Saccharomyces cerevisiae S288C: one gene and its partners. The protein of the gene in region 2 interacts with the protein of the main gene of each other region in a biochemical or structural test. Each region holds a gene or a part of one and is shown on either strand. Other genes may lie near its edges.

Evidence for each region. The genes of interacting proteins can lie anywhere in the genome.
Region 1: the proteins of SIS1 (region 2) and SUP35 are reported together in a solved structure, tested with the Saccharomyces cerevisiae proteins (2 studies listed by BioGRID, with this or other methods).
Region 3: the proteins of SIS1 (region 2) and MSP1 form a complex in vitro, tested with the Saccharomyces cerevisiae proteins (one study listed by BioGRID).

Annotation. Positions count from the first base shown.
Region 1 is NC_001136.10:806,639-811,295, reverse strand, and holds SUP35 (translation termination factor GTPase eRF3), read right to left. Parts: upstream 2,973-4,657; coding exon 915-2,972; downstream 1-914. Other genes in the region: ARG82 (inositol polyphosphate multikinase), read left to right, coding at 1-731; heat shock protein HSP42, read right to left, coding at 3,548-4,657. UniProt on the Saccharomyces cerevisiae protein: GTPase component of the eRF1-eRF3-GTP ternary complex, a ternary complex that mediates translation termination in response to the termination codons UAA, UAG and UGA.
Region 2 is NC_001146.8:618,007-622,054, forward strand, and holds SIS1 (type II HSP40 co-chaperone SIS1), read right to left. Parts: upstream 1,560-4,048; coding exon 501-1,559; downstream 1-500. Other genes in the region: putative ubiquitin-protein ligase ASI3, read right to left, coding at 1-235; TOR complex subunit LST8, read left to right, coding at 2,061-2,972; mitochondrial 54S ribosomal protein bL27m MRP7, read right to left, coding at 3,307-4,048. UniProt on the Saccharomyces cerevisiae protein: Required for nuclear migration during mitosis. It is required for the normal initiation of translation. Might mediate the dissociation of a specific protein complex of the translation machinery. Essential for viability.
Region 3 is NC_001139.9:540,488-544,205, reverse strand, and holds MSP1 (protein-degrading AAA family ATPase MSP1), read right to left. Parts: upstream 2,004-3,718; coding exon 915-2,003; downstream 1-914. Other genes in the region: ERV1 (flavin-linked sulfhydryl oxidase), read right to left, coding at 1-484, 568-653.

The sequences.
Region 1 (4,657 bases), on a different chromosome or scaffold from region 2:
AATACCTCGTTTTAGAAAATCTACTATATGGATTTAGTAAACCTAATATACTTGATATAAAATTAGGCAAAACTTTGTATGATTCGAAGGCATCATTGGAAAAAAGAGAGAGAATGAAAAGAGTCAGTGAGACGACGACTTCAGGATCTTTGGGTTTCAGGATATGTGGCATGAAAATACAGAAAAATCCCTCTGTGCTGAATCAGCTTTCGCTCGAATATTACGAAGAAGAAGCAGACAGTGATTATATCTTTATAAACAAATTGTATGGTCGTTCAAGAACCGATCAAAATGTTTCAGATGCAATTGAACTTTATTTTAACAATCCTCATCTGTCGGATGCGAGAAAGCATCAACTGAAGAAAACATTTTTGAAAAGATTGCAGTTGTTTTATAATACTATGCTAGAAGAAGAAGTTAGAATGATATCAAGTAGTCTTTTGTTTATTTACGAAGGAGACCCGGAGCGATGGGAATTACTAAATGATGTTGACAAACTTATGCGAGATGATTTTATAGACGATGATGACGACGATGATGATAATGATGATGATGATGATGATGATGCCGAGGGAAGCAGCGAAGGACCAAAGGACAAAAAAACAACTGGTTCTTTGAGTTCCATGTCACTAATAGATTTTGCACATTCTGAAATAACGCCGGGGAAGGGTTATGATGAAAACGTGATTGAAGGAGTTGAAACCTTGCTAGATATTTTTATGAAATTCTAGATATATTGAGAGGTGAAGTTTACCTTGTTTATGGTATATGGTACAAAAAGAACTAAACTAATTATACGTCTATATATATATATATATATATAACAGCTTTATTAAACCTTGTTTTTTAATATAGAAGAAAATGCTTTATGATCGGTATTATTGTGTTTGCATTTACTTATGTTTGCAAGAAATTTACTCGGCAATTTTAACAATTTTACCAATTGCTATTGTGGTACCTTGATCTCTCAAAGTGAATCTACCTAATTGAGGGTAATCTTGGTAAGTTTCCACACAAACTGGAGCTTCAGTTTCTAAAACAGCGATGACCTTCATACCCTTCTTAGCAAAAGCAGGTGGTTTCTTTGACTTACGGTTGGTACCCTTTTCTAATTTGTGCAATAACTTAACAATATGTACCTCTTCAATTGCTGTATGAACATGCATAACACATGAAAAACCGGCTGCTATGATAGATTTTAATTCTACAATAGCAATTTGAGCTACAAACTTGGTAACACTCTTGATAGGGTTCTTTGGCGATGTTAGTACAAAACCTGGTGAAATGTCTTCTTCTTCAACACCTTTGATTCTTAGTTTAACTTGCTCACCACACATAGCCATATCAACTTCATTTTCAGTTTCGTTGTAAATATTTTGAATTTCCACAGCGGTTTTGTTAGGCATCAGTAGGGTGGATTGACCCTTTTTGATATGACCGGATTCAATTTTACCTTCAACGATGGTACCTAGATCCTTCATCTTAGCGGCAATAGGCAACATGAATGGAGCATTGATGTGACGGTCGACGTGGTTCATTGTATCCAGATATTCTAACAGAGTTGGGCCGGTGTACCATGGGCATTCTTTTGGATCTACGTGATCTTTCAAATTTGCACCACTGTAGCCGGATACTGGCATAAATACAACGTCTGTCTTAATGTTGTAACCAATTGCTCTCAAGAAATTGCTGACATTACTCACACATTGGTCGTAACGTTCCTTAGACCAGTTAACGGTTGGGTCATCCATCTTATTTACGACGACAACCATCTTATTAACACCTTGGGTCTTGGCCAATAGGGCGTGTTCACGAGTTTGACCACCTCTCTCAAAACCGGTTTCGTACTCACCCTTTCTGGCGGAAATGACCAAAACACCAACATCAGCTTGAGAAGCACCACCGATCATCTCGGAAACGTACATTTTATGACCAGGAGCATCCAATATGGTATAACGCCTTTTTTCAGTTTCAAAGTAGGCCTTACCAACTTCGATAGTCTTACCATCATTTCTTTCTTCTTTGTTGGTATCCATGACCCATGACAAGTACCAACCTTGTCTGCCTGCATCCTTGGCTTCTCTTTCATATTTCTCAATAGTTCTCTTATCCACAGAGCCAGTCAAGTATAGTAGATTACCACCCATAGTAGATTTACCGGCATCAACATGACCCATGAAAATTAAAGAAACGTGATCTTTACCACCAAACATATCGTTAACAACTTCGTCATCCACTTCTTCTTCCTGTTCCTTGATCAAGGCATCAGCACTGGTAACATTGGCATTGTTGGTATTATGTGTTGATTCAGAGATTTTAAGGTCTTCTACCTTTGGAAGTTCCGATTTTTCCTCCGTCTTTTCTTCAGTCTGGACTGGTTTCTCCTCCTTTTTAACTGGTTCTTCGACCTTTGTTGGCTCTTTAGTTGGTTCTTTGGTTTCAGCAGACTTCTCTTCCTCTTTCTTATCAGATTCGGCAGGTTTTGTGCCAACCTTCTTGGTAGCATTGGCCAACTTGATACCGGAACTGGAGACAAGCTTCAAAGTCTTCTTTGGTTTGGGAGCGGCCTGCTTTTGTTGCTTTTGAAAGTCGTTCAAAGACATACCTTGAGACTGTGGTTGGAAACCAGCTTGATATCCTTGCAAATTGTTATTGTAGTTGAAGTTTTTGTAATTTCCACGGCCACCTTGTGGATTGAATTGCTGCTGATAACCGCCTTGAGGATTGTACTGTTGATAGCCTCCTTGAGGATTATACTGTTGCTGGTAACCGGCGTCGGGATTGTACTGTTGATAGCCACCTTGTTGGTACCCAGAATAACCTTGGTAATTTTGGTAGTACCCACCTGCAGGTTGGGCTTGAGCATTGTAAGCTTGATAACCTTGGTATCTGTTGTTACCTTGTTGTTGGTTACCGTTCTGGCTGTATTGCTGGTAGTTTTGCTGATTGTTGCCTTGGTTTGAATCCGACATTGTTGCTAGTGGGCAGATATAGATGTTATTCCGAGCAAGTCGATGAAGAAACCGCTTTTTGTTACAGTACAATGGAGTCTTTCAAGAGAAGATGTACCAATATACACTACACTCTTCAGAAGCAATGGGAGCTTTGGTCGAGTGAAAAAAAAATTTTCTCCATAAAGAAAGATCATATTATACGATGATGTAAGATATAATACCCGGTTGTAATGTACATTTAAGAGCAAGGTAAGAAGTGACAATAACTTCTGTATGATCTTAGCATGTACCTCTTTTGGTGGGCTGAGAACTAAGATTCATCTTTTTGCGGAAGAATTTTGCTATGAACTTCACAACTTTATGAAGTGGTTTAAGAGAATTACAAAAGAAATGACACAGACTCGAACACTGTGACGCGTCGTCTTAGTAAAAAATAATAATTTGAGTCAAATAGCGCAGCTAATGCGAAACAAAGAAATGAAGCATATACCATTCGTTGTATGATTTTTGTGTGGTTGACAGATATTCTGCCGAAATTTTAACGCTTATTATAAATATAAATGTATGTATGTGTGTATAAACAGATACGATATTCAATTTTCTACCGTAGGGTTGGGATTTTCTTCAAACTCCAATTCTTCGTCGGGTATTTCCTCAATGGCGATCCTCTTTTTTGGCTTCGGCTTTTCAGTGTCATTGACAATTTTAGGCACCTTAATTTGTAGTAGACCGTTGTTGTAAGTAGCTTTAATTTCTTCGTCCTTAATGCGTGGCAGCACGGGGAATTTAACGGTTCTCTCAAACGCACCATATTTTAGTTCCGTGATCTTCAAGAATTTTTCATCAATGCCCACTCTGTCTTCGATCTTACCCTTGATGAGCATCTCATGAGAAGATGGATGGTAATCAATGTGGAAAGCCCTAGAGTTAGCACCTGGTAACGCAAGAACAACTACGTAAGTGTCCTCGGTATCATAGACATTCACTTCTGGTGAAAATGGTAAGTCCATTCTCGTTTCAGGCTTGGATACTTGTAACGGGTCAGGTATTGGGGAAGGCGCTTGTAGGTGAGCGAACGATGAAGATTTTTTGGCTAATGGTGGTCTCGACGATTCCTCCAGCTGATTCAAAGGTTTTTCTTTGTTGGTTTCGCCAGCTTCCTCTTTGGGTGCTTCAGACTTATCCTTCTTATCCTTTTCTTCTCCCTTTTCGCCCTCCTGTTCGGTATTTGCTTCAATTTCTGGTTCAGTGCCTTCATATGGTGGAACACCTATTAACGCGGTTAATAAGTCGTTTAAACTGTTTGCCTGTTGGTTGGTCCTATTATTCCTGGCAGTATTACAATGGTAATATGATGGATATCTTCTCGAGTTGCTGTCCTCGCCACCATCTTCCTGTCTTGTAGTGCCGCTGTCACCCACCATATCTTCGTCTTGGTCCTCTTCTTCACCATCCTCGTCATCATAACCGTATTCAGGACTATAGTAATAGGCTTGTCCAGGGAACTGGTAGTAATAGGTATTAGGAACACCATTGTATCTGCTATACAATGGATGATGACGAGGATGATGCCCGCCAACGTGCACTTGTCCATAATGGGGATGGTATCTCTGTGGCCTTTGTGGTTGGCGAGGATATCCTTGCTGCCCTCTCTGGCCAGTTTGGTTGGATAATGCGTTCAAAACGTCATAAAGAGATAGGGA
Region 2 (4,048 bases):
TTCTAATTCCTACCTTAGCTAGTTGCAAAGTGGTGAAGTTACCTTTCTCCATCAATGCTTGAAAAGAGTCCAAAGTTGGGGCTGAAACTATTGTAGAATTTGGACTTACAAAAACTTCCGGTTTCTGAGTTGTGTTATCTAGGTAATTAAGATTTCCAGTCTTGTTGTGAAAAAAGCTAAATACATCTCTGTTATGGAGCAATTGCTTAACATGTTGCAATATATTTGTAGACATCAGTCAAACTTTTGAAAATCCCTACGTAATGACTGTTCCTGACAAATTGTAGCCTCTCGGTGACCTTCTGTCAAGTCAACCATTCCTTACATACATCATTTATATGCCAGAGGGCAGGGTAATGCAGACATACAAAAACTTTAATTTACCGCGCACCGCACCGCGCAATTTAAGATTATTGAGTCAAAATTAATGATGTATATTATATGATTTCTGTGGTGATAAATTTATTTGAGTTTATAATTATATTTGCTTAGGATTACTATTAAAAATTTTCATCTATAGCACGTTTTTGAGCGTCGTTTAGTGATATTGGATAGTCCACTTTATATTTTACAATCAAATTACCTCTCTGAGATGGGTTCTTTGGAGTTGGCATACCTTGACCAGGATAAGTAGAAGTTTGTGAGGGTTGGACAGGCTGTACTCTCGACAAAGGTAAGGTTCTGCCATCAATTGTTTGGATAGTTTTTGAAAAACCTAACAATGATTCCTTGAAAGATAGTGGCAGAGTGTAAATTAGGTCATCACCGTCTCTTTTAAAGTTTGGATGGCTCTTTTCCTGGATGACAAACTGCAAAGTCTTTCTACGGCCCGTTTGAGGATTGTAATCACCCTGGTTCTTGTATGTTATTTTGGTACCAGCTTTCCAACCCGGTTTTAATTGAATGTCAATTTGTGTCTTTTCAGAGGCCCCATGTGGGCCCTTTCTTCCAATTTTAAATGACTTCTTTTTACCAACAAACAAATCTTCTAGACTAACTGGTAAATTAACTTGAACTGTTTCTTCCTCTGGATACGTGGGAGAGCTTGATGCTGATCTAAAGCCGCCAGGCATACCTCCCATGCCGCCATGCATTCCTCCCATTCCTCCAGGCATACCTCCCATACCAGCACCGCCGCCAGATGGATAACTAGAGAAACTGAAGCCACTGTCATCAGCACCACCGAATGGGGAACTGCCGCCAAAGAATTGTGAAAAAATATTGAAAGCATCCTCATTACTGAACGCATGTCCTCCGGAGAATCCGCCCGCACCGCCAGGGAAGCCTCCAGCACCTCCAGCACCGCCAGGACCACCAGGACCAAAGCTTGGACCACCAGATCTAGCAGCCTCGAGACCGTATTGATCATATATTTCCCTTTTTTGAGGATCATTTAAAATTTCAAAGGCCTCTGATATCTCCTTAAACTTTTCTGTGTCACCTGTTGGCTTATCTGGATGATATTTTAGAGCTGCTTTTCTATAACCCTTTTTCAGTTCTTGCTCATTAGCACTTGGAGATACTCCAAGTAAATCATAAAGTTTTGTCTCCTTGACCATTATTAGTTCTGTATACTATACTCTATTATATTGATGTGAATGTATTAAAAAAAAAATCTTAAAATGCAAACAACTTATCCTTTATCCTCTGAAGAGTTTCTGGATGGTTATACAATTCTAAGTCGTTAAAAGAATTCGTGTAAGAGCTTAAATAATATTAATTAGAATTTTTGACAAGAAAGCGCATAAGTTTAAAAAGGGATTAACAATACGGTAAAGGGACGAGAAATCTATACAATATATATTAAATCTCGAACTACCTTGGCAAGGAGTTTGTGCTGACAGTGGTTGAAAAACCCGTAAAAGGATATCCCATTCTTTTTCCAGAAGTTTCTGGAACGTTCATATAAACCAAAGAGGGTAACACAATACGTTAAGATTCAGAAAAGTAACGACTAGCTATTACTGATCATGTTATAGAAGAGTGCGACAACCATATATTATTAGCGCAGCGATCAACGTGGCAGTCTTGTCATCCATATAAAAAAGGAGTTCTGATTGATGTCTGTTATCTTAGTATCTGCTGGCTATGACCACACAATAAGATTTTGGGAGGCTCTTACTGGGGTTTGTTCAAGAACAATTCAGCATTCCGACTCACAGGTTAATCGCTTAGAAATCACCAACGATAAAAAGTTGTTGGCAACAGCAGGCCATCAAAACGTACGGCTTTATGACATTCGGACGACAAATCCCAATCCAGTAGCATCCTTTGAGGGTCATCGGGGAAACGTTACCTCCGTTTCTTTTCAACAGGACAACAGATGGATGGTGACCTCTAGCGAAGATGGGACCATTAAAGTTTGGGATGTGCGTTCTCCGTCCATTCCTAGAAATTACAAACATAACGCACCAGTAAATGAAGTCGTAATTCATCCTAACCAAGGCGAGTTGATATCTTGTGATAGAGATGGTAATATAAGAATTTGGGACTTAGGAGAAAATCAGTGTACCCATCAATTGACACCTGAGGACGATACCTCTCTCCAGTCTTTATCTATGGCAAGTGATGGTTCGATGTTAGCGGCAGCAAATACTAAAGGTAATTGTTACGTATGGGAAATGCCAAATCATACTGACGCATCCCATCTAAAACCGGTAACAAAATTCAGAGCGCACTCCACATATATAACTAGAATTCTACTATCATCTGATGTAAAACATTTGGCAACATGTTCAGCGGATCACACTGCTCGTGTGTGGTCGATTGATGATGATTTTAAGCTAGAAACGACATTGGATGGCCACCAAAGGTGGGTTTGGGATTGCGCATTTAGTGCTGACAGTGCGTATCTAGTAACGGCATCGTCCGATCATTACGTGAGATTATGGGATTTATCAACTAGAGAAATTGTCAGACAGTACGGTGGACACCACAAGGGAGCTGTATGTGTCGCATTAAACGATGTATAGTTTACAATTTATCAACTACCAAGCTTGAAGGACCGAAGTGACAAAAAACATTATGATTTTCAGTGTTTGCTTATCCGCCTTTTTGTAAATATAGATTTTACTATCCTGTGCATTTTAGTTAATTGATTGTTCACAAAATGAAAGCAATCGCGATGCATATCATCAATGAAAGGAAGACGAGAATGTACAGTATAAACATATTCCCTTGCATGTAGCACTAAATTTTAAGTTTCGTGTAGACGAAAGGTTTAGCTACTTGCGCGACAAAATAGTAATATTTACAGGCATTCTTAAACATTTTATATGTGTACATACTGTGCGTAAGGAAAGAAAATCAAAGCTTGCTCAAAAAAGCCCGCCTACTTCTAGCAATGACTTCAACTTTATTTTTGGTGTAATCAAAACGTCTAGACACAATTGACTTCTTCCCGCTTTTGGTTTCAACCGTACTATCTGTTTCGGGGAAGACCGACTTTAAGTATTTCCTACGCAAATGTACTTCTTCAGATAAAGTCAAAAAATTACAAGCGTCCTTGAAAAGCGCCTTAATATAATTCTTGTCTTTTTTGGTTTCTAAGTGTTGGGATTTTTCTAGGTCCTCTAATAGTTTTGCCTTCAAAGCTTGTTTTTCTTGTTCCGAAATATACTGGTGTAGCTCTAGCTTGTTATTGAAAGATGTAGATGAGTTCAAAAGATCACTACACTCATCAATCTTGGATAGACTCTCCGACAATTTCTCATTCGTCCAGCTTTCTCTCCTTGCCTTCAAACGCTCTTCTTCTTTTAAATAATATCTACTATTGAACCTTGCATCTTCTATGGGGTATCCATTCTTCAGGGAAGCCCTTACACGAATTAAGTATGACGTTGCCAATTCGATGTCTTTTATATCTAACTTAAGTTCATCCCGAAGAACCTTACTCAACTTGTCTTGTAACTCCTTTCTTTTAGATTCCCTGACCTCTAACTGCTTCAAAATATTAGGTTTTGCGAGATAGTCTTTTCTAGAAATAGAATTTTCTTCCTTATATGCTGCCCTTTTATTTGTTAACTCAAAACGGCCAAACCTCCTTACG
Region 3 (3,718 bases), on a different chromosome or scaffold from region 2:
TTATTCGTCCCAGCCGTCCTTCCATCTTTTTTCCCAGAAATTACAGTCAAATTTGGGCTTCCTCAATTTCTTATTGACTTTATTGTGGGCTTCACACATCCACCTCCCAAGTTCTTCTCTTGACTCAACTTGTGGTGCATTTTCTCTGATATATTTTTCAAAGTCTTTAGCACACCAGTTGCAAGGATAAATATGTGAGAAGATATTCAAGAACTGTTTCATTTCACCCTTCTGTTGGTCTGTAGGTTGAGCAGGATAGCTGGCAGCTACAGAGTGTAACAGCGTCCATGAAGATCTACCTAGTTGCTCTACGTCAGGAGGGTCAACCTTCCTGTATGTTCTTGAGCCAGGCATCAACTCTGAAGCTTCGCCAGTGAGAGCCCCCGTACCTGCTAGTTTACCGTTAGATGAGAGGTTCTTCAGGCCATTAGATATCTTCCCGGTCACGTACTGAAAGTCAAGTAGGGTGTTACATGATCGGCAACTATTATAGAGAATTTGTTAATAAAAAATCACAAGCTTGATTGGATCAGTAGATCCTGAATTGCTTTGCGTAATCCAACATACGGTTTGCCATCTTCGTCATATATTATTTTCCTCCCACTTAAGCCTTCTTGTGGTGGATTATCCGTCATTTTATCTATTGCTTTCATGAAGCTTTGTATTCATTGAAAGTTGAGTGTTTTTGGCTTTTCCCCATCTTTAGATTTAGATTATGACTAAACCTGATAGAATAGTTGCCGTAATAAAAGCGGCCCAAGAAAAATAACTAGTATATAATTATAAAGCAGAAATAAAGGAAGTTATGTACAGGAGTATACTGCATATACACATATTATGTGAAAACTAGCTTATCTGATATGATATGATGCGTGAATAAAAAGCTTTCTTCTTTTTTTTCTAATTTTCCTTCCTTAATCAAGAGGTTGAGATGACAACGTACTTGTAGCATCCATTCTTAATTTTTTTGTAAAATCTTTTGTCTTTAATGGTCTTATCTTCAAGGAAGAAGTATCATTAACATCGATTGTACCACTATCAATGAGCTGCCTCTTCTGTTTTATGTATTCCTTTGCTGCATCTAAGGCCGCTTCTCTGCAAAGCTCTTTCAGGTCCGACCCAGAAAATCCTTTGGTATTGTCTGCAATCAGTTGCAAGTCGAATTCGTCTTCGTCTAGTTTAGTGTCTTTTAATAAAACACTTAATATTTTGTAACGTTGATCAGAACCAGGCAATGAAACAAGAAACCTTTTTGGTAACCTCCTCAAAAACGCATCATCTATGTCATTTATCCGATTAGTAGCACCGATAATCATAACCCTTCCATTATTCAATAAGCCATCCCATAAAGTCATGAATTCAGCTTTTAAGGTTGCCGTAACTTCATGATCTGTAGAAGACCGTTCTCTAAGGAATGAATCAATTTCGTCAATGAATATTATACAAGGTTGTAACTTGTTCGCCAATGAAAACATTGCATCGACTATTTTGTTAGATTCACCATACCATTTATCCATTATAGATGACATTCTTATTGAGATAAAATTAGCACCACTTTCCTTGGCTAGGGCCTTCGCCAACATGGTTTTACCACATCCTGGTGGCCCATATAGCAAGACACCGCTAGGTGCTTGAAGTAAAGGGCTATTAGAATATACTTCTGGCATCATCAAGGGATATATGACACTTTCATGTAGATCTGAAATAAGCGGGTCTAAGCCACCAATATCCTGGAATGTAATATTTATTTCATCTGGCGTAACGATAGAAGATAATATAGTCCTTTCATATGCATCTAATGTTACTTCTGCCAATGCCGGTGATCTTTTCACCAGCTTTTCCCATTGCAAGGACTGTTTGGCCTTTGATTCCCTTGATTTACCTGATAACGGTCCTGATTCAACATCGTTGAGTAGCCGACTGACCAGGTAGTATAATGATATGCCAGTCCCAACTAGGACGGAAAGATCAGTAATCGTTTTTAAATCAAATTTGCGAGACATTGGGCTTCCTTTCTTTTGAATCCTTATCTCTTTTCGTTCTTGCTTCTTCCTTTTTTGAAAACGTGTCAAGACGCTTCTATAATATAACGATTTTTAGGAAAGCTAAACTATCGATTTCCGCCTGTCCAGTAAATAGAGATTATATGGTGTAACCTGTTGTGTTGGACAGATATAAGTCATTAAAAAAATAATAACTTCCTTGACCAATTGTATTGAAATACTTCAGCCAAGAATTTATATTGACTTTACTACCTCTTTTTCAAGAGGTAAGAAAAAGAACACTCCGATACGGGGAGTCGAACCCCGGTCTCCACGGTGAAAGCGTGATGTGATAGCCGTTACACTATATCGGATGGTAATCTGTGAAAATTTCTGGCTTCAAATAGCTAAATAGCAATGTTTTTAAAGAGCTGATGCATTTATTAGAATAAAATTTCAATGTCATCCAGTGGCTGGTATTTATATTACTTGTATTTTATCATATACGGTGTAAAAAAGATACCATGAAGATTGAGAATGAGAAATATGTGAATGTTGAGATAATTGTTGGGATTCCATTGTTGATAAAGGCTATAATATTAGGTATACAGAATATACTAGAAGTTCTCCTCGAGGATATAGGAATCCTCAAAATGGAATCTATATTTCTACATACTAATATTACGATTATTCCTCATTCCGTTTTATATGTTTATATTCATTGATCCTATTACATTATCAATCCTTGCGTTTCAGCTTCCTCTAACTTCGATGACAGCTTCTCATAACTTATGTCATCATCTTAACACCGTATATGATAATATATTGATAATATAACTATTAGTTGATAGACGATAGTGGATTTTTATTCCAACATACCACCCATAATGTAATAGATCTAATGAATCCATTTGTTTGTTAATAGTTTGAATGTTTTTATCGGAAGAGGTTTGGTCATTACGTCTGCAATATTCTTTTTGGTTTCGATATAGCATACGTGCAGATGATTTCCTGATACTTCATCTCTCAATCTCATTGCTTTAGTACCAAAAAATCTGTTCCTAAATTTCTCTTCATTATTGGATATAATTATACTGATTGTAGATTTACTGTCGGTTAGTAATCCTTTGGTAATTGGTTTCTTGTCAAGTTCTTGTATCAGGTAACTTAGATTATTTAATAATGGGACAGATTCACTTATCGCGTGTATTTCTGCTTCCGTAGTTGAAGTACATGTTAATGAAGCCTTGGTGGACTTTCCTCCAATTACCTTTCCATTAAGTAAATATATGTTGCCAATTTGTGATTTATAATACGGTTGGTTGCCATACGAGGCATCGCTTATAACAACTAATTTATTTGTTGGCTTAACAGGTTTGCTTTTGTGCCATATTAATTGCTTATCTCTCGTATTCCATATGAACTGTATCAATTCATATGTCATATCTAACACTTGCTTGGACGGAAATAGTATATGTTGTGCAAGTGTGTTGATGTAGTATAATAGGTCAAATCTAAATTTATATCCAACATATGATGCTAGACCTATCAGCTTTTGCATTTCATGTACCTTCATTTTGTAATCATCTTCTTCTAGCTCTAGTTCTTGCTGGTCTATATATAGACCTGGTTGACCTGGAGCGCTAAGTTTCCTTCCTTTTGGGTTCAAAGGTACGTTTAGTTTGGGTATTTTTTCAGTTAATGAGTTTTCCATACCCAATTTCATGTATTTACCT